Linked DNA regions of Schizosaccharomyces pombe. The protein of the gene in region 3 interacts with the protein of the main gene of each other region in a biochemical or structural test. Each region holds a gene or a part of one and is shown on either strand. Other genes may lie near its edges. The genes, in order: cdc6, cdc1 and cdm1.

Region 1 (9,897 bases), 440 kb from region 3:
GAGTGTTCTTTCTCCCTCCACTATGTCTGATTCCTACGCTCTTTCCTCTACTTACACAGCCGGTTCCTCTTATCAGAATGGCGAGTCCGATTATTTTGGTTCTTTACCCACTCCTTCCTCTGATAAATCATCGACTTCTCCCTTTCCATATTTGAAGGGCTCCTTCGATGATCGTTTCTCTTCAACCCATTCCCTTACACGACAACCTTCACCTCGTTCACCGTTAACTCCTTTAAAAGGAAATACCCGAGCTTCTCCAGAAATTCGCTATGTAAGCGATTTCACTCCTCCCTCATCTCCCTTTGAAGACATGCAAGCGTCTGTTCATTCTTTGCCCTTGTCTGGATGTTCGATTGGTCCTGTGCGTACTAACCATTCTTCATCTTTGTCAAATTCATCTAACTCATTACTACAAACCGAGTCCTCCTTGCGACCCAATTCTTCTTTCGTAAATAGTCCTTTTTTCCCCCTTCCTTCTTCTGATGATCTTTTCCTTAATGACAGAGTCATTAATCTCTTTCTTTTTTATGAAAAATTCTCTTATTTGTTCACTCATTTACTTTCTGCTATAAAATCTAGAGATGCGTTGAGCATTCCATCACTCGTTCTTTCTCTCCAAGAAGAACTCTTCAATCTCTGCCAGCAGACCGGGACTTTTTATCTTCTCCAACACAATCTCTTGCAAAACTTTGAGTTTGAAAACCCCATTAAATTACATTTTGATAAGATAATTCCCTACTTTTCGAGATTAACTGTACTGACCTTCTCGAATCGTGCTTTTATTTTTCCAGACCACACTTTTCCCCGCTTACAGCAAAGCGCTGAGGATTTTCTGTACCATTTACAATTTTTCTTTACTCTGTGTGCAAATAATAGTTTATACCTTAGTCGCTTTTGTTACTACCCTTCTTTTGTTCCCAATACTCCTTTCGGGGGCAAATGGACCAACAATGGTTTGTCTGCTGTTTCATCAGCATATCGAACACGCTTGCTTGAGCCTTGCCTACCCGAACTCGACAAGTGCGTATGGTTTTTATTGAAAAATTGTGATGAATTTATTGAAAACTTCTCTGATTTTGCCGATGAAGAGTATGTCTTTGAAATTTGTTCCACAATTACTAGCCACTCTGAACAAATCTTCAACAAACTTGAAAGTTGGGATATGTCGATATACTTTGATAAAGATTTAAGTGAGTGCGAGCAAGCTACAAACTTTGCAGTCCAATCTTACTTTGTTACAAAGCAACGTTGTTATGATTTATTAACTGATCTGGTTTGTTCATCTCAAGACTTGATGATGGAGCACTCAAACGATTTTTCTACAATGCCTACAATGATTGCTTCCATTGCTGTGGCTTTCCAAACTTTATTTGAAAATGTTTGTGATTTTCTTAAAGTACGTGCTGCTCTCGTCGATGAGATGCAGGAATTAGCAACAAAAGAGTTTGAAAACAAGTTTTCAAATGCAAACACAGCAAAAGATGACGAACCGGCTCGTCAAACTAACAAAGGTACTACTAGAATTTCTAGAAGTTCTGATTTTACCGCTGTTAGCGAGATGAGCAAGGATACCTTAACACTTGGCAGAAACTCTTTGCAATCAATTTTGATGCTGGATAATTTGTTAACCAATAAAGTTGTGCAAAGCGATAACAATGTTAAAGGTGGAACTTTACCGGCCCTCGTGCATTACCTTGTCCAGAACGTTCACTTGAACAAAGATTTTCGCCATTCGTTTCTTTTGACTTATAAAACGTTCACTACCCCCCAGGAATTGTTTACGCTTCTTGTCATTCTGTTTCACGAGTTACCGCCACCAGGATTAGATGCTACAGCATATAGTTCTTGGGAAAAGGGAGATAATTTTGTTACCAAGAAGAACGTCTGCACCGTTATGAATTTGTGGGTTCAAAAATACTTTTTTGAAGATTTAAAAGCCCGTAACACTCTTTATTTGATTTCGGAGATGCGTACCTTTTTACGTGACCATGTTGTTCCATCTTTTCATATTGGCAGTGTAATTTTATCGGAAATTGACAATCTCTGGACTGAAGAGCCTCCAGATTCGTTAACCCAACGCCTATTATCTTCTCCCATGGCTACTTTTATTTCTTTAAACGTATATGCTTATACTCCTGAAGAATTTGCTTCCCAGATGACATTATTGGAGTTTGATTATCTAAAGCAGATTCCTTCGAGGGAATGGATATTTAGAAGCTGGGTTAGTCGCGATTCTCGCAGCGCTGTCCGAAATTATATAAACTTTTCGAATTGTTTCACCTATTGGATAATCAATTGTATTTTAGAGAAAAAGAATACCAAAGCTCGTACAGCAGTAATATCCTTTTTTATACAAACTGCCTACAAGTGCTTGTCCCTCCAAAACTTTTCCACTCTAATGTCTATTGTTTCTGCCTTAAATTCTGCTCCTATTTATCGTTTACATGCAGCGTACAAACTTGTTAAAGCTGAAGACATAATATGTCTGTCTGGTTTACGTGAAATCGTGGAAACAAAGAAAAATTTCAGTACTTATCGTGCTTTACTTCGCAAGGCTGAACTTCCTTGCGTACCGTTTTTGGGTGTCATATTAAGTGACTTGACTTTTATCGATGAAGGTAACCCCGATGTTCTTGATTCATCTCCACATCTGTTAAGTTTTAATAAGCGGCATCGACTTGCCGATGTCGTCGCAGATGTGTGCCGATTCCAATCCTCCTCTTACGAAATGCAATCTAATACTGATCTTCAAAGCTATATTTTACATCGGTGTCGCTTTGTTAACCAAGATCTGTCCTATTTATTTGATAAATCACTCTCACTTGAACCTCGTTCTTCTTAAATCTTATTTTTTACCCCTCTCTTAAAATCCCGTTTTGGTTTTAGCCCGTATAGGGTTCGCTCTTTTAGTTGTCTTTCAGACACAGCTTTTAATCTATCTCTTTACGTATTTACTGTTAATGTTATCGTATTGGTTTAACTGACATGACCTTGATGTTGTATTATTCATTAGGCGTTGGTAAACAAAGTCTCAGAATAAATTATCGGAATTGTCGGTTTGTAGGCTGATGACTCTGCTCAGTTTTCTTAATTCCTATTGCTTGGAATCTAGTTCTTTTTGTTTTTGGACAATTGCGTCCTTTTTATTACTAATATCTTCCATTAATAATAAATTAGTCTTTTGTTATGCCCAAGAATACATTAAGTAGTGGTTTATGTAGCTTGATGGAGATTGGTATAAACTTGTATATTTGATTTCTTTCTCCATCGTAATTTGACAGCTAACCTATTTAATGTGGTTTTACCTTTTCAGCAGTTGACACTCATACCAAAATTTATTGGTGTACGCTTTGAACTTACCTACAAGATATTCGCCTAAGTACCTATTTGTTGTTACCTACAAAACCCTTTTAGTTGCTCGTCTTCCTACCAAAAACCAAGAGCATGTAAGCTTGGTGTCTTCCTTATTTACCATTTTCTGTTCTAATTTTCATAATAAATAAAAAATTAATTACTAGAATGACAGATAGGTCTTCAAATGAGGGCGTCGTGTTAAATAAAGAAAACTATCCATTTCCCCGAAGAAATGGTTCAATTCATGGCGAAATTACAGATGTCAAACGGCGACGTTTAAGCGAAAGAAATGGATATGGTGATAAAAAGGGCTCATCCTCAAAAGAAAAAACTTCATCTTTTGAGGATGAGCTGGCTGAATACGCTTCACAATTGGACCAAGATGAAATAAAATGTAAGGTTTTTTGGATAGCTAACCATTTATTAGTATACTGACTCCTTGATAGCTTCAAAAGATCAGCAGTGGCAACGACCAGCTTTACCTGCAATAAATCCTGAGAAGGATGATATTTATTTTCAGCAAATCGATAGTGAGGAGTTCACAGAAGGATCTGTACCTTCAATTCGTTTGTTTGGTGTTACTGACAATGGAAACAGCATCCTTGTTCATGTTGTGGGATTCCTTCCGTACTTTTATGTTAAAGCCCCGGTTGGATTTCGACCTGAGATGCTAGAACGTTTCACACAAGATTTAGATGCTACTTGTAATGGGGGTGTGATCGATCATTGCATTATAGAGATGAAGGAAAATTTATATGGATTTCAGGGAAATGAAAAATCTCCATTCATTAAAATCTTTACTACTAACCCTCGTATATTATCTCGAGCACGAAATGTATTTGAAAGAGGAGAATTCAACTTCGAAGAGCTTTTCCCTGTTGGTGTCGGTGTCACTACTTTTGAGAGCAATACGCAATATCTTCTTAGATTCATGATTGACTGTGATGTTGTTGGTATGAATTGGATTCATCTTCCTGCTTCAAAATATCAATTTCGTTACCAGAATCGAGTTTCTAATTGTCAAATTGAAGCTTGGATTAATTACAAAGACTTGATCAGTCTTCCAGCTGAAGGCCAGTGGTCTAAAATGGCCCCACTGAGGATCATGAGCTTTGATATTGAATGCGCAGGTCGCAAAGGCGTTTTTCCTGATCCCTCTATTGACCCTGTAATTCAAATTGCAAGTATAGTAACGCAGTATGGAGACTCCACTCCTTTTGTTCGTAATGTCTTTTGTGTTGATACATGCTCACAAATCGTTGGAACACAAGTATATGAATTTCAAAATCAGGCTGAAATGCTTTCAAGTTGGTCAAAATTTGTTCGTGATGTTGACCCAGATGTTTTAATTGGGTACAACATCTGCAACTTTGATATCCCTTACCTCTTGGATCGAGCAAAAAGCTTACGCATTCACAATTTCCCATTACTTGGCCGTATTCATAATTTTTTTTCTGTCGCAAAGGAAACCACGTTTTCAAGTAAAGCATATGGTACTCGTGAAAGCAAAACCACTAGTATTCCTGGGCGTTTGCAGCTTGATATGTTACAAGTAATGCAGCGTGATTTTAAGCTTCGATCTTACTCTTTAAATGCAGTCTGCTCTCAGTTTCTAGGCGAGCAAAAAGAAGATGTACACTATTCTATCATCACTGACTTGCAAAATGGCACTGCCGATTCTAGAAGACGTTTAGCTATTTATTGTCTGAAAGATGCATATTTACCCCAACGCTTAATGGACAAATTAATGTGTTTTGTTAACTATACTGAAATGGCAAGAGTAACAGGTGTACCGTTTAATTTTCTTCTTGCTAGAGGCCAACAGATTAAAGTTATTTCTCAATTGTTTCGCAAAGCTCTTCAACATGACCTAGTTGTTCCAAATATACGTGTAAATGGAACAGATGAGCAATATGAAGGTGCTACAGTCATTGAACCGATTAAAGGATACTATGATACCCCTATTGCAACACTGGATTTTAGTTCACTTTATCCTTCGATTATGCAAGCCCATAATTTATGCTATACGACATTACTTGACTCAAATACTGCAGAATTATTAAAACTTAAGCAAGATGTTGACTACTCAGTGACTCCGAACGGAGATTATTTCGTTAAACCACATGTTCGTAAAGGACTACTCCCTATTATCTTAGCTGATTTACTTAATGCACGTAAGAAAGCAAAAGCAGATCTAAAAAAGGAAACGGACCCATTCAAAAAGGCTGTTTTGGATGGTAGACAGCTAGCTTTAAAAGTAAGTGCTAATTCAGTATATGGATTTACTGGTGCTACCAACGGACGTTTGCCGTGTTTAGCAATTTCTTCTTCTGTTACCTCTTATGGTCGACAAATGATTGAAAAAACCAAGGATGTTGTAGAAAAGAGATACAGAATTGAGAATGGATACTCTCACGATGCAGTTGTAATCTATGGTGACACTGATTCTGTTATGGTTAAGTTTGGCGTTAAAACGTTACCTGAAGCCATGAAATTAGGAGAGGAAGCAGCTAATTATGTTTCAGACCAGTTTCCGAATCCTATTAAACTGGAGTTTGAGAAAGTGTACTTTCCATATCTTTTAATTTCCAAAAAACGTTATGCAGGATTATTTTGGACTCGTACAGATACTTATGATAAAATGGACTCTAAAGGAATAGAAACTGTCAGAAGAGATAACTGTCCTCTAGTATCTTATGTGATTGACACAGCTTTGAGAAAAATGTTAATTGATCAGGATGTAGAGGGTGCACAGTTGTTTACAAAAAAAGTTATTTCCGATTTGTTACAAAACAAAATTGATATGTCACAACTTGTAATCACAAAGGCATTATCAAAAACTGATTATGCTGCCAAAATGGCACACGTTGAATTGGCTGAGCGAATGCGTAAACGAGATGCTGGCTCCGCCCCAGCCATAGGAGATCGCGTTGCATACGTTATTATTAAAGGTGCACAAGGTGATCAATTTTATATGAGGTCGGAGGACCCTATATATGTATTGGAAAATAACATTCCTATTGATGCAAAATATTATTTGGAAAATCAACTCTCCAAACCTTTGCTTAGAATTTTTGAGCCTATTCTTGGTGAAAAAGCTAGCTCTTTACTTCATGGTGACCATACTCGGACGATTTCCATGGCAGCCCCCAGTGTTGGAGGAATAATGAAATTCGCAGTAAAGGTTGAGACCTGTCTTGGATGCAAAGCTCCCATAAAAAAAGGTAAAACTGCTTTATGTGAGAATTGTCTAAATAGATCGGCGGAACTGTATCAACGTCAGGTTGCTCAAGTGAATGATTTAGAAGTTCGTTTTGCTCGCTTATGGACTCAATGTCAGCGATGCCAAGGAAGTATGCATCAAGACGTCATTTGTACCAGTAGAGACTGCCCCATATTTTATATGCGAATTGCAGAACACAAGAAACTTCAGCAATCTGTTGACTTACTGAAAAGATTTGATGAAATGTCCTGGTGAAAAAGATGGATGTTTTTAATTACTAAATGTGTATATCAAACGTAATGATGAAAAGTTATAATAAAAATTCTACTTTTCTTAAGTACTTTTGCAATGCGAAAACTAAACGAGTTTGCCAAAGCTATACCTTTATGTTTGCTTTTTTTTAATTCAGGACAATATGATAAGTAAATTGAATCATCATAATGGAAGGCATGTCGAATGAGAGGCGAAGACTCCCAGATAAACAAGAAAGGTAATTTTACTGACAAAGCACACTTGCCAGCAATAACCTGGAATAAAAGTAAACAGTGACGTCCAAATAAATGATCAAAAAATGCTTTTTTCAGAAGATTCATAAATTGCTGCACTGTTGGAGGAAATAGTTGCTCCATAAATGGGTATGTAATCTTTTTGTAAAGAAGGATGCTTGAATTTTGGTCTTTTAAGAAGCAATGAGAAGCAGCATTGTTTTTAGATTGATGAAATACTGCGATTTGGGTGCAGAAACCGTAAGTAGATGATGGGCGAAAATGTAACAAATCGTCACCATCTATTAGATCATTTAGCAAACCACAGCCCGTAAATTCAACAGTATACTCTGGGTATCTTTTACAAATTTTATAAGCCCATTTAGCAAACTCTTTTCGATCCCATTCAAAAACGTGTTCAGGATGTCTAAAATTGGTAGAAGTACGAGATGATATACTACTTGTCAAGGTTGATAGTTTCTCAAAGATTGTGTTAAATTCAAAATTCGGAGTTGACACTACGCAAACATTGGGCTTCAAGTTTCCAAAAACAAGTTTTTCAAAGGCTAAAATCTCTGCAACTTGACAATGCTCAATAAACTCTGAAGCTACAACCGCATCAACATGTTTATAATGAGTAAAATCTTTAATATTACCAAGCAATAATTCAATATGTAGCGGTCGCCAACGTAGTTGTAAAAAGTCTTCGGTTCTAACCTGTAAAGCCTCAGTAGCTCTTTCAATACTTTGTTCGTTAATATCAATACCGGCCAGAAATTCTATAGGCACTTGATCATTGCAAGGTACTAAATATGATAGAAAACGAGCATCTCCACATCCAATGTCTAACAAAGATCGCACAGGGAAGCCTCCTTGAAGTATTTTAAATAATTTCCTTCGACGCTGTACATGCAAAGGTGGGTAAAAGCTAGAGACACCCATTGTCTAAACTCAAAGTATTTTTGGTACACTTTCTTCACGTTAGTCAAATAACTACCTATTAACTGTGAATGTTCGTTTCAAAACCACTATTTAAGCCTTTTCAAATTCATTACGAAGCGAATTGTTATTAATTCTTTGCTAAGTCCATTGCAATATGATTTCGATGACTGCCGTTAAGACACCGAACCAAATTTAATTGAAAAGGGAATTGTTGACTAGTGCGAAGTGTCATTTTCAACGTTAAATAATAAAATTATCTTAGCTCCGAATCTATACTTTTCAATTTCCTCTTTAAAATTGTTATAATAGCATGATATTTAATTACAATAAAATATGTAGCATTATGCAAAACGAGAACAAAAAAAGCACATACAACCAGCGAAGAGTAGACGAAAATTATACGGCAAATTTCAAAAGAATGTACCTATATCCATTTTTTACAGCGCTCATCATAGATGACCATTTACTCAGAAGCTCCTCGCCGAGCAAGCATATCGGCTTGTTGATTACCGTAATCGGTACTGTGTCCTTTCACGTACTCTAGCGAAACATTTCTGTCACTCATCAAATCTGAAGCGCGGTTGATCAAATCCAAATTTTTTACAGGTTGTGAATTGCTAGTCTTAAAGTCATTTTTCTTCCATTTAGGCAGCCATGTGGTTAGTGACTTAATGGAATAATTGCTGTCAGAGCGGATGGTCAAATCGCCAGATGTATTTTCAAGGGCTAGGATTATGGCTTGCAATTCCGCACGATTGTTGGTTTGCTCTTCCCCAGCCAACGGTACTGAAATATTTCTTGGGTCATCATTTCCGAAAAAAACTCCACAGCCAGCAACAGCTCCTTTTTTCCCATTTCGCAAACTAGAACCGTCAGCATAGACGACCTGTCGATCCGAGCACGCAATTGATTTTTCATGAGTGTCATTCGAAAATATTTCAATATCTTTTTCGGTACTATAACTTCTAGAAATTTTCTTTCTATATTTATCGGAGTGTCTAGCAGAGTAATTTGAGGAACTAGAAGAATATGGAGAGTACCCATAACTTGTTGTACTGCGGCGATATGGGCCAGAAGACGAGGAGTAGCGACTTCCTTCGGTCCTGCAAAATTCCTGAGCAGCCTCATAGCTGTCAAATTTCTTGTAGCGATTACCTCCATAACCTTTCACCTGATCCGACGCCTCATCCCTAAAAATTAGTAAGAGTTTGTTAAACAACAAGGTGTATCCATCAAGGAAATGTTAATAAGAGATCATCTTGAAAAAACCGATTCAGATTGAATTGAAGCAAAGCATACGACCGTATCGAAACTTGCTTAACGTGAAACTTATATTTAACAACGAAACCATTTTCTTGAGATACGCAGTCTTACCATGTACTATATATACCAGTATTTCGACCACGCGCTACTGCATAGTATGCACGCTTATTTCCACCCATTTCGTAATGCGAAGATTCAAAAATAGCTTTAAAATAGTAAAACTTAGTAAAACTTGGGAGTTTTTCCCAAAACTTTGCAAAAATACTTGTAGTTGACAAATTGAGCTGTAGTCTTATGAGTTATTGAAAATAGTGCAGAAAAAAGAAGGATTTGGATTTATAAATTTATATTAATTTGTAAAAGAGTTCAATTGACGATTAATAATGGTAGAGCATCAGGAAATGTCACATATCTGGACTACTGCAGTACGATACATAATAAAACGGGTTTGCTTATTTACTAGCTGCATAATCTCTGCACACTATATTACGGTAAGCTAGTTAGATCTCCGCGACTGTTATACCGCCTGACATTAAAATTAATACACAATTGATAGTATATTTTATTAGTTAAAAGCTCCTTAAATATAGAATACTCATTTTATGTCCTTAGCTCATTTAATGTAGTCTA
Region 2 (5,315 bases), on a different chromosome or scaffold from region 3:
ATGTGTAGTGGAAGAAAATTTTTATTTTCCTTCTTTCTTTTTCGCTTGACGAAACTTGTGTGTGTGTAAACGAGCTCGGTTTCATCGACCCAGCTGAAAACTGGCTACTTTTTTAGGGTACATTATTACATACAAAAGTTTCTTGCTTTCTTTTCTTTTTAACACATAATACCGAACTTGCAAATAGCTACTAGCGAGACCGTTATACGGCCAGTCAAGTCAACGCAAATGCTCATCATATACACGTAAAATATCATCAATTGGTTTGAGCCCAACGCAATAATGACTGCGAATGTTTGCTGTTAGATAGAACATTCCTTTTACTTTTTTTTTACTTTTACGGAAAAAGTATGTAGAAAGGCAAAGAAGGAGTTCTTTACACTCACTCGCAAAATTCCAATTCCACTTTCAATTGCAAAAAAAAATGCAATCCACAATTAAACAACCTCTAAGGAGAATACAGAAATCATCGCTTCCCACCTAATATATCTCACAGCGCATCCTAACGAATACAGTACCAAATTCAATAAAAAGACAACTAAAGAACGAGGATCAAATACGGTACTGCGCTACATCTCATAGCCGAGGTATTCTAAATAGATGCCAGTTAAGGTAAAATAAGCTTCCAAAAATGCAACTTAAAAAAGAATAGATTGTTGAAATGAAAAGTATACTTCTACAAAAAGGATGTTGGGAATAATTCTGTCATACCATACCGTGAATGTCGCAGAATGTTTCAATTTCAGTAGCACTGGCATTTTATCTTTTCTGACTTATTTTCAGTCCGGCTGTTCCCTTCTCTTTTGGTGTCCCTGTTGTCTTGGACAATTTGTCACCCCAAGGACCCTTGTACTTGGTTGTTTAAACAACTAGCTCGTTAGATTGGAATTTGCTTTTCGGGAATTCTGGGACTTGCTTACTCTCCGTAACCTCATTTCTTTTCTCCTGTCTCTTGCATTTCACACACCAATCCAAACAAGTTCAGCGTGAGGACTGCTTTAACATCCGTGATCGAGCCTAGACGGTTGTCCCAATGTTTAACAAGGAGCTCGATGTACTTTTTTATTTGGTCCGTTGACTTTCCGCAAACATGCAGTGAGAGAATACGGAAGTGAAGAGAATTTCGGTAATGTATCGCACGCACATATAGGAACAAGAACAATTCATATCCATCTATGTCTCTTCCGGTTTATCTGAATGATTTGTTGCTTTCTATTAATTCGTTAACCAAGCAACCACGAGGCCCCATCATTCTGCCAAATTGACTTTCACAATCATTGCACAACTATTGCTTCAAGCTCCCTACAAGGTATCCAGTGAGTATCAATATTTTAGCAGCATCGATTTGTTACTTACTGTTTGGAAAAAAATCGGGGCAGATGAGCACAAACAAAAAGCAACAAAACTCTGAAATTTTTATATAAAACATGGATTCTCAAACTCCGATCCCACAAAATCCCTCTACTGCTTTAGTTTAACCTCAGGGGAAGCGGAAACCGACAACTGTCCGCAGAACCGTTATTGGCTCGTTTGTTCCAAACTCTAGCAGTGCGAAAGTGAAATTTTTACAGTATGCAGGCAGGTCCTTCTTGCAAGACACTATAAAGTAAAAGTTTTTTAAACAATTCGACATTCCGGCGAATGTGAAAATGTAACTGTGTGAAATGTTGACTATACAAGTGCATTAAGCAAAAGATCTCATCGTAATTTTCGATCTTCAATTTATCAAACTTTCAACCGTTTTTAAACCGTATGACCTTTTAATACGTAAACAGTTTCTCATTTTTTTTATGTTTTACTGCATTAATCACACACAATAAGATTTTATTTCCATTTCATTCAAGTTGCCAAGTTATTTCTATTTAGTATATTAACAACTAAAACACAACTGGCTGGCTATGCAAGTAATTATTATTCTCTAACATAGAGATTCTTATTTTTTTTGGTACACAAGTTTATGAGTCGTTAAAACCTTTTTAAATCGTGCAACATTGATTCATCTCAGTATACTCGATTATCCCTGTGTTCGATATCCCGCAGCTGTAGCCGATACTGAATGTTAACAGTCCACAGTCTATTTATAGCTAGCTCTCTGATATCGGACAACAGGCAATACCGCTTCATTGACCTCTCGTGACAAGCGGCTTTTTTATAAAGGATGTATTGATATCTTTGAAGAAGAAGAAAATCGGCAAGTTTTTCATTTTACTTTAAACATTTGAATTTGGTTTTGCTATTCTTGCTTTTCCTTCTACAATACTTTTCCATATGGGGTAATAGTGTGACCGATCAACATTGCGTTATTTAATATTCAGATTTCAACGGAATAAAATAAAACCTCAATTTAAATTAATGTAGTTTTGATATACATCTTTAATAAGTAATATAGTAAGATACAGAAATCACCTTAACCATTTCTAGGGCACTATGTTGGCCTACCTTTCCTCCTATTAATTAACATAATGTTATTAATTTACAATCATCAAATAAATCGAAAACCCACTTTTTATGCTATAGGAAAGGGTTTGTAGTTCATTTACTTCGTTGGGGAATTTGCTTCTTTTACTTTTGTGTGATAAAACTCGATAGACTAAATATATGGATTCATCATGATTGTTCAAGGTTGAGAAAAATGTTAATTGTATGAAACGAAATAAACCCACATGATGTTTGTTCATCCTCAATTAGTAAACATTCACCTTTATTGAGCTTCTTTCTCTTTTCGTCAAGTTTACCTCTTTGTTTACATTTAAAAAAAGATGTTCTTCAAACACTTTATTGTTGTAGGTAACAACAGCTAGTCATGTTAGGAACCACGACTTTCTCATATACAACGTATTCTTACTTGTTGATCTGCTGCATCCAACTCCTTTGCTTATTCGAACCTTCTAAACCTGGTTCCATTCCATGAAATTGATTCCCCTTAACCTTGCATAGCACACCTTTGAAGTTCCTTACTCTTTACATATGCTGCTTGTGTAAATTAGTCAATAACATTTAAAGAACTGATTTTATTGAAAAAACAACAAAAGCGTTATTATATTTATTCCTCTTTTTTTTAAACAGGTGTTTTGGGGCCGTTCATAGGTTTTTTGGGAAATCATATAAATATATATATATATATATATATATTTTTTTCCGCACATTTACTTGCAATACTCGCTCGTTTTAGTAATTGCATGAATCGTAGACAACTCTTCACTCTCCATTGTTGTGAAATTTTTCGTGGAGCATCTCGATTTAATATCCTGACTACTCCTTTGGTAAGTGTTTAACTTACCTAACTGTATATATTTACAAAATAATCATGGTTGAAGTCAGACATTCAATTCCTTGTGAAGAAACTAAACGCTTGGAGCTTAGTTTAAGTCAGCAAACGTATAGTCAACAGTACGCCAGCATCTATTTCGCCCGACTTACCGCTCTTCGACCCAGAATCACAGAAGCCGCTTCAAAAAAATGGCCGGATAAACAGCGATTGGAACGCGTTTTAGATGTTAAGTCAGATGAAGACTGTTGGGTTGTCGCTACCGCTTATATGACTACAGCTCTTAAGCCAAACGTTATGAACGATGTCACACAACTTCATACAATTGTCACCACTACTGAAGAATCTCCGTATGTTAGCCCAGAAGATGCTGCTTCAGGTGATATAGAATATGCTCTTGAGGATGACTATGGCCGTATAGATTGTAGCGGAAGCTTTTTGTATGACGCTGGCGTTGTTACAGGAGTTGTTCTTGCAGTTTTGGGCCATGAAGATGAACAAGGTCGTTTCGTTGTCGTTGACGTTTGTTTTCCAGGCATCTTCTCTCATTCCATTCCAATGACTACAGATGAATCGCAAGCTCAACCAGAGTACATTGCGGCAGTCAGTGGCTTAGGTCTCTCAAATGACGGCATAGAAGGCATTCAAGTTCATCAGCTTGTAGATTTCCTAAGAGGAACACTTCCACATGTCTCTTCCTTTTCCCCTTCCTCCATCAAAAGGCTAATTATTCTCGGAAATTGCTTAGCACCTTCTATAGAAATTGCCGACTCCGCTTCTGCGTCCGTGCCCATTGGCAAGAAAAAAGTAAAAAGATATGGCTATGACACGTCTGCTTACAATCCAAATCCCACCTTCCAACTAGATAATTTTCTTGATCAAGTGTGTTCCAGCATAGATGTCACTTTAATGCCTGGTCCTTATGATTACAGTTCAACTATCCTTCCTCAACAGCCTTTGCATCCCGCTTTACTTACTAAATCAAAAGTTTGGTTGGGATCTTCTTTACAAACAGTTACGAATCCCACTTGGCTTTCTCTTGGCAATCATTTTGTGTTGGCTACTAGCGGCCAAAACATTAATGATCTCCGAAAATATCATCCCAAAAAATCTTCACTTCAATGCATGGAAAACACTTTACTATGGAATCATATCACACCTACCAGCCCTGATACCTTATGTAAGTAATCTGTACATTTTTCAAACGATATATTTGCTAATGATTTTAGGGTGCTATCCTTTCACCGACAAAGATACATTTGTAATGGAGGAAATGCCTGATCTATATCTTTGTGGTAATCAACCGAAATTTGGCTGCAAAACAGTCATTAATGAGGGAAACAGAATACAATTGGTTTCCGTTCCCGAATTTCGTAAGACTGGTGTACTTGTTCTCATAAATATGCATACGCTCAACGTAGAAATTATTCAATTCCGCCCCATGTCAGTCAAAGCAGAGACTCCAATTACTTCTTAATGCAAAATATCTTGAATATTTAATCATGTATTTATTAAATAAATAAGTTTTTTCTTACTGTTGTCATCATAATTATCTGATCTACACGTCTCATTGAGTTCTTTTGTCAAACAAATGAGAATTATTACCACTGTGGAACGTGAACTCCGTAGGTTCAAAAACGTTAGTTGCATTCTGTAGGGAGCGCTGGTTTTTAGGAATTCCTAATTGGTCTAATAACTCAGTCGACTTGGTTGGCATTATAGGTTGTAGGAGAATTCCGCTAATGCGTAGGCTGTGAGCTACTAACATTAAAGTGTCAATCTTTTCTTGAGAATCATCTGATAATTTCCAAGGTTCTTTCAATTGAAAAAGCTTAGTGACTCTTCTTAAAACAGACTGAACAAGATTAATAACCTCGTAAACACACCCACCATCTATGCTTTGCGCGCAAACAACAGGAAGTTCTATAAGTTCGTGTACAATATCTTCGTATTCTGTAAAATCATCCTTTTTATGCCATTGCTTCTGTATTTCATTGGAAATGAACAGTTTCTTCGATTGCAATCGAGAAAGTAGCACACCTAAAGA
Region 3 (5,654 bases):
GCATGTGGGTCTTCTGGTTGTCTTTCGGGATCAAGTTTGATACTAGTATCGATACGTAAAATAGCAATGCATGCCTCAACGGCGCTCTTCAAACTTTTCAACTTAGACATGGATGGCTCAAGAACACCAGCCTTAACATTATCACGAATTACGCCATTAAGTAAATCAAGACCATAATTTTTGTATCCCCGTTTCTTAACATCTGTAACCTCAGCATTTTGACTGGCTGCGTGATAAGCACGCAACTTAGCTGTCAGTTCAGTAGAGTCTTTGGCGGCATTGACGGCCAAAGTTCTGGGAATAATTAACAAAGCTTGTGCAAACTCAGCAATTGCAAGTTGCTCACGAGAGCCCAAAGAGGTAGCAAAATTTTCCAAGTAAATGCTCAGAGCTGTTTCCACAGCGCCGCCACCAGGAACGACTTTGCCGCTCTCAAGAGTGCGTTTGACGACGCTTAAAGAATCATGCATTGAACGCTCCATTTCATCTAAAGAGTATTCATTGGGGCCTCGCAGAACAATTGATGCAGACGAATAAGCTTTGGTTCCTTTGACAAGAATACATTCATCATCCGAAAATTTTTCTTGAACAACCTCTTCAGCCGAGCCCAAGTAGGAACTTTCAAAGGTTTCTTCACCCTCTAAATTTGACAATGAACTGAGTAAGGTAGCACCGGAAGCCTTGGCGATACGTCTCAAATCTTCCTTTTTGCATCTACGAACAGCCATTGCGCCAGCTTCAATAATGGATTTCAAACAGAGATCATCAATGCCCTTTGTGGTAAGAATAACATTGGCACCCGCATTGAGAATTTTTTTGACGCGTTCCAGCGTAATCATAACTTCTCGTTCACGGATCTTTTCAAGTTGATCGGGGTCATCAATCGTCACATGCACACCTAACGCCATTTTAGTTTTTTGCAAATCCATATCCAAAACAGCAATTTTAGCATTCTGAACACGAGTTTTCATAGCTTGACTGGCAATGGTACAATTTAAAGCATAACCTTTAACCAGGACGGACTCTCGAGAACTTTTGCCATGTGCCTTCAAAATGTTGACAGCTTTAACAGGGTAACGGGTCTCACCCTTAGAATTAGAAGTTTTGACGGAAAGCATTGCGTCAACAGCCATGGTTGAAAAAAAGTCTGAATCATTACCAATAATTTTTGAAGACATACTGGTTTTGGCAACGTTAATAAGACTCTCTTTTCCCAAACTATCTACGCTGCAGCTCAAGACATCTGTCATAAATTTTACGGCTTCACGGATAGCAAGTCGATAACCGGTTATAATAGTAGTGGGGTGAATTTTGTTTTTGACAAGCTCATTCGCACGTCTCAACAATTCAGCCGCAATAATGACAACACTAGTAGTTCCATCACCTACTTCTTTGTCTTGTTGTTGAGCTAATTCAACCAGCACTTTACCAGCAGGATGTTCAACATCCAATAATGATAAAATGGTAGCACCATCGTTTGTAACAGTAACATCCTAATACAAGTTAGATAGAAATAAAAGAAAGTAAGAAAAAATATAATAAAAGATGAACTATAATGGCAGGAATACTTATTAATTCGATTCACAATATAAGGTTGACTCTTCCCTGCCAATTAAGATTTCCTTAAATGCGAGAAGATTACAACACTAGCGTATCAAATCAATAAATATTGGTTAAAGGCCAATATCCCCCATTATTGTCTAAAATTTTCTTTTCTTCACGAGGTCTTTAACATACACCAATATCGTCAACGAGCATTTTGTCTAACCCGACAGGACCCAAGGATGATTTGACGACATTCGCAATTGCGGTCGTTGCCAAAACTAAAATGTTAAAAGTTATGAAAAGAAAATTAACATACCATTTTGGTTTCGTACGTCCTCTCCACTGATTTTTTCACCACTCAAAACTACAACATGTTAATAATTTACCATCCAGCGCAATATTGGATGCTTACAAAGAGTGGATTCTCTCGGTGCTTGAAACATTTCAGCTAGATTCGATGTTCTCCTCTAAACTGATTAACAATCTTTGTTTACACGTTTGGCAGACGTCGAGGGAGGAAGGTTCTTTGAAATGTACTAAAAGCATTCAAACCCTCTAAGTGTTACCTCATATAGCGTAATGTTACCCTCTTGGTGGAAACTAAAATTCTGCAACACAAACTACCTGTGCACTATTTGCAGCATAGGGACAATTAACAAATTCAATAATTTTGATTTACGAAGGATGTCTTTCACGTTTGAAAGCATTATGTAAATTTATCGACTGCATTAAAAAATATAACAATTTGGTTGACTACACTGTATTTAATGATAGTGCAGTTTAATCATTGAGAAAGCCCGGTCAGTTTGTTTACCACTGTATAACTAACAGTTTAAAAGCCCTTAAAAAAAGACAACTTAATGAAACTAGATACTTAAATTACTAAAAGCTGTAAGGGAATTGAAGTTTCAACTGTCTTTGTGCTTCAATTGCAGTGTAAAAAGTTACGCTGTTTTAGCAAAGCACAAAAGACAAATTTTGCAATACTCAAAGCTATTTAACTATAAATTTTTTAAATTTTGAAAATGTTAATAAGTATATCTATTTGCATTTACGAAATTGCCTATTTTAAATCGGTAAAGACCAAAACCCTTTTTAGAAACGTATTAAAGATATGTTAGGAAGGCTGGCAAGTGATTCAATTGCATGACCAAGGCTGGATTAAGACAACACGTATTGCTAAAATACTTGTATCTAATTATGAAATTTCCACAATACTATCTGAACTAATAACGAGTATTGTTTACTTCTTGTTTGCTCCAACAACGAACTAGAAATACCGAAATAGGGGTCGTCAAGAAGTTTCTATTTTAATAATTATCAATAATGCACTTAAATACTTGGACCTAAATGAATAATAATATATATGAAGGCTGATATATGTATAACGATAAAGAACGAGCGGATGGCTGGATACTTATTTTCTCGTCAGCGTGACGCATTTTAAACATCGCTATAGTAGTCATCTAAAGTTATATATACATATTAAAAGTACACTTGCAACCAAATGTACTTTTTCAGAGATTTCTTTTGGCCAAACAAACTAATGCTCTAAATTGAGTAAACACGAAAAAGAATTGGATTTATAGTGCACCTTTCATTCTAGTACCGCAGTGTTACAGAATTATATCACGCAGTATGAAGAAGCGCACTACTCAAGCGAAAAAATCAGGGCAAAACACTAATATTCGCGACGTGTTTCCACATGTAGTTCGAAGTAATTCAAGTCAATCCCACATAGGGAAGAAAGTGAGTTCTGAACAGTCGCCTACACCCGATGTTACAATTACAACCAAAACCTTGGATGAGAGAATTAAAGAAGACGATGAGCTTTCAAAAGAGGTAGAAGAGGCTTGGAATCAAATTATGGCTGAAAGGATTAGTGAACCAATACATTGTGAAAATATAACCAAAGTAGAGTTCATTTTGCATCACTTTGACACTACGGCAAGATATGGACCATATCTTGGTATGACAAGGATGCAACGCTGGAAACGTGCAAAAAACTTCAATTTAAATCCTCCAGAAACAGTGGGAAAGATATTGATGCTCGAGGAAGCAGATGAGGAAAATCGAAAAAGAGAATCGCTCTTTTATGATCTTCAAACCATTCCAGGCTAGATTATTTTTATATCTTACATTTTGTAGGTCTTTAAGATGAATCTTGACCCGTATTCTCTGCAGTACTTTCGGCTTTCTCACCTAAAGAAGGTATTGGTTGTTCGTCTGCATTGGGTACAGTCCCATGAACTCGAACTTGATACAAGCATGTGTAATTGGGATTTCCCCAGTTGCTTTTTATTTTTAAGATCACATTCTGTATCGGTTCAGCGACAATATAATTGGAGGATTCAAACGAAAAAGTTTGAATAGAGTCTTCCGTTAAAGAATATCTCGCCTTTCCCAACAATACAAACATCTTGCTGGACATTCCCTGAACCCACAACTCAAAGTCCTTGGGAGCGCTAGAAAGATCATGAGCAATCTTGTGCTGAACGTGCTCTATTGTGACATTGGTTACATATACAGGGCGTGATAGGGAAATTCCTAATTGTCCCTCTGAACCTTGAAAGCTCCAACACATCGCAACTGCGTTGTTGGGAGTTAATGCTATGCTAGGTTCGTGTCCTCTAACAACGAGCGAATCAAAGAAATAGGAGGTAAATCGTGGTATGAATGCAGATGGTCGTCTCACATAGCGTTTTGAGGTTAAGGCAGGTAGTACTTCCGCTCCTGTTGAGAGCAATGCAAAATTCGGCATGGAAACCGGATCGGTCAAGTATTTTCGAACCGTAGATTCGATGAAGAACTTCCAATCGTCATTTAGTTCAACTTCAAATGGGACCGATGATTTGTAATTAGACATCTCCTCCTTTAGCGACTGTTTTAATTGCTCTACTTTTTGTTGTAAAATCTTGTCAAATTCCTTTTTTGTAATTAAATCTCCCGTCGAATAATCGAATTCCTCATTGCCGCCAACTTTAGAAGGTGAATCTGTGAAGTCTTTAATAATATCTGGCTTTAAACTTGTTTTGGTGTCATTGGATGCAGGAGGAATGTTTGGTACGGGCGAATTAGATGGTTGGGAATTATCTGATGAAAATGATCTTGAGTAAAATTCTTGACCCTTGTGAAGTAGAGTAATTATTAGGAGAGTCGAAAAGAGAGTGATACCGAACCAAAGTAATGGTTTAAATTTTGAGGAATAAAATTGAGATTTCCTTGTAGATCTTTGATTCATCGGGTACCTAAAACTGGCATTTGTTGCGGTGGTATCCTCGTTCAAGCTATACCCTTCATCATCACTTTCCTCGTCGATGCTGTTTTCGTATTCTTCATTGACAAACTCTTCATCATCTCCATCTGATTCATAGAATACATTCGTCGAAGCTTCGTGTCCATTTTTCACTACGTTTTCAAATTCTTCGTTATCAGATTCCTCTTGCTCGTATCGAATATTAGAGTGGTAAGCCTGTTCGAAATTGGGAGCTGGAAATCTTTGTTTAGGAGTAATTGATTCAATGGACACCCTGGTAGGAGGGGACCTTATCTTTGTATAGCGAAGTTTATGCATTTTGGAGGCCAAATCAGCCGTATTTTGATGAATCTGAGCAGAGTTCGCTCCTAACGTCGACCAAGCTGGATGAGCGCCATTTTGACGCTCTCTTTTCCCTCCAACCGGTGTATTAGTAAACATTGATGTATAAAAGGCTATTTGAAAATTAAAAGAAAAATATACAAACGAATCAGTGATAAATAAATATGTAAAAAGAGAGACAAAAATTGAAAAGAGAGTATTGGAAGGCGAGAATTTGAATTAGTGTTCGTATTCAAAAAAGTGAAGCTTAAGTAGGATTCTGTAATTGAATGCCTTTTTGATCGCTTTATGCGAATGTATAAATTATTAATAACAGACGAATTATCGTTGACGCCTTTTTTATGTGAAAACAGATACCTATACACACAATGTATGTAATTGATCCTACCCTAGCAGAGTATACCTTTCTTGAGGTATCATTCCAATTCCAATACTGGAAAATTCCTTCACAAACAATAAAGGATACAATACCAAGATAAACACACTAGAAATGGACGGTACGAAGATTGAC

Evidence for each region.
Region 1: the proteins of cdm1 (region 3) and cdc6 form a complex in vitro, tested with the Schizosaccharomyces pombe proteins (one study listed by BioGRID).
Region 2: the proteins of cdm1 (region 3) and cdc1 form a complex in vitro, tested with the Schizosaccharomyces pombe proteins (one study listed by BioGRID).

Annotation. Positions count from the first base shown.
Region 1 is NC_003423.3:2,740,324-2,750,220, forward strand, and holds cdc6 (DNA polymerase delta catalytic subunit Cdc6), read left to right. Parts: upstream 1-3,438; 5' UTR 3,439-3,519; coding exon 3,520-3,748; intron 3,749-3,800; coding exon 3,801-6,832; 3' UTR 6,833-6,867; coding exon of another isoform or gene 6,868-8,004; 3' UTR 8,005-8,273; downstream 8,274-9,897. Other genes in the region: Ras guanine nucleotide exchange factor efc25, read left to right, coding at 1-2,842; hen1 (S-adenosylmethionine-dependent methyltransferase), read right to left, coding at 6,868-8,004; ribonuclease H Rnh1, read right to left, coding at 8,468-9,194, 9,379-9,446. UniProt on the Schizosaccharomyces pombe protein: Catalytic component of DNA polymerase delta (DNA polymerase III) which participates in chromosomal DNA replication.
Region 2 is NC_003424.3:4,011,743-4,017,057, forward strand, and holds cdc1 (DNA polymerase delta small subunit Cdc1), read left to right. Parts: upstream 1-3,307; coding exon 3,308-4,448; exon of another isoform or gene 4,449-4,497; coding exon 4,498-4,745; 3' UTR 4,746-4,815; downstream 4,816-5,315. Other genes in the region: SPOM_SPAC27E2.14 (uncharacterized protein), read right to left, coding at 780-869, 921-935; msm1 (methionine--tRNA (Met) ligase), read right to left, coding at 4,836-5,315.
Region 3 is NC_003423.3:2,303,770-2,309,423, reverse strand, and holds cdm1 (DNA polymerase delta subunit Cdm1), read left to right. Parts: upstream 1-3,050; 5' UTR 3,051-3,183; coding exon 3,184-3,666; 3' UTR 3,667-3,697; downstream 3,698-5,654. Other genes in the region: chaperonin-containing T-complex alpha subunit Cct1, read right to left, coding at 1-1,493, 1,738-1,823, 1,862-1,909, 1,958-1,988; protein Sad1, read right to left, coding at 3,698-5,242. UniProt on the Schizosaccharomyces pombe protein: Appears to have a role in the stabilization of the DNA polymerase delta complex.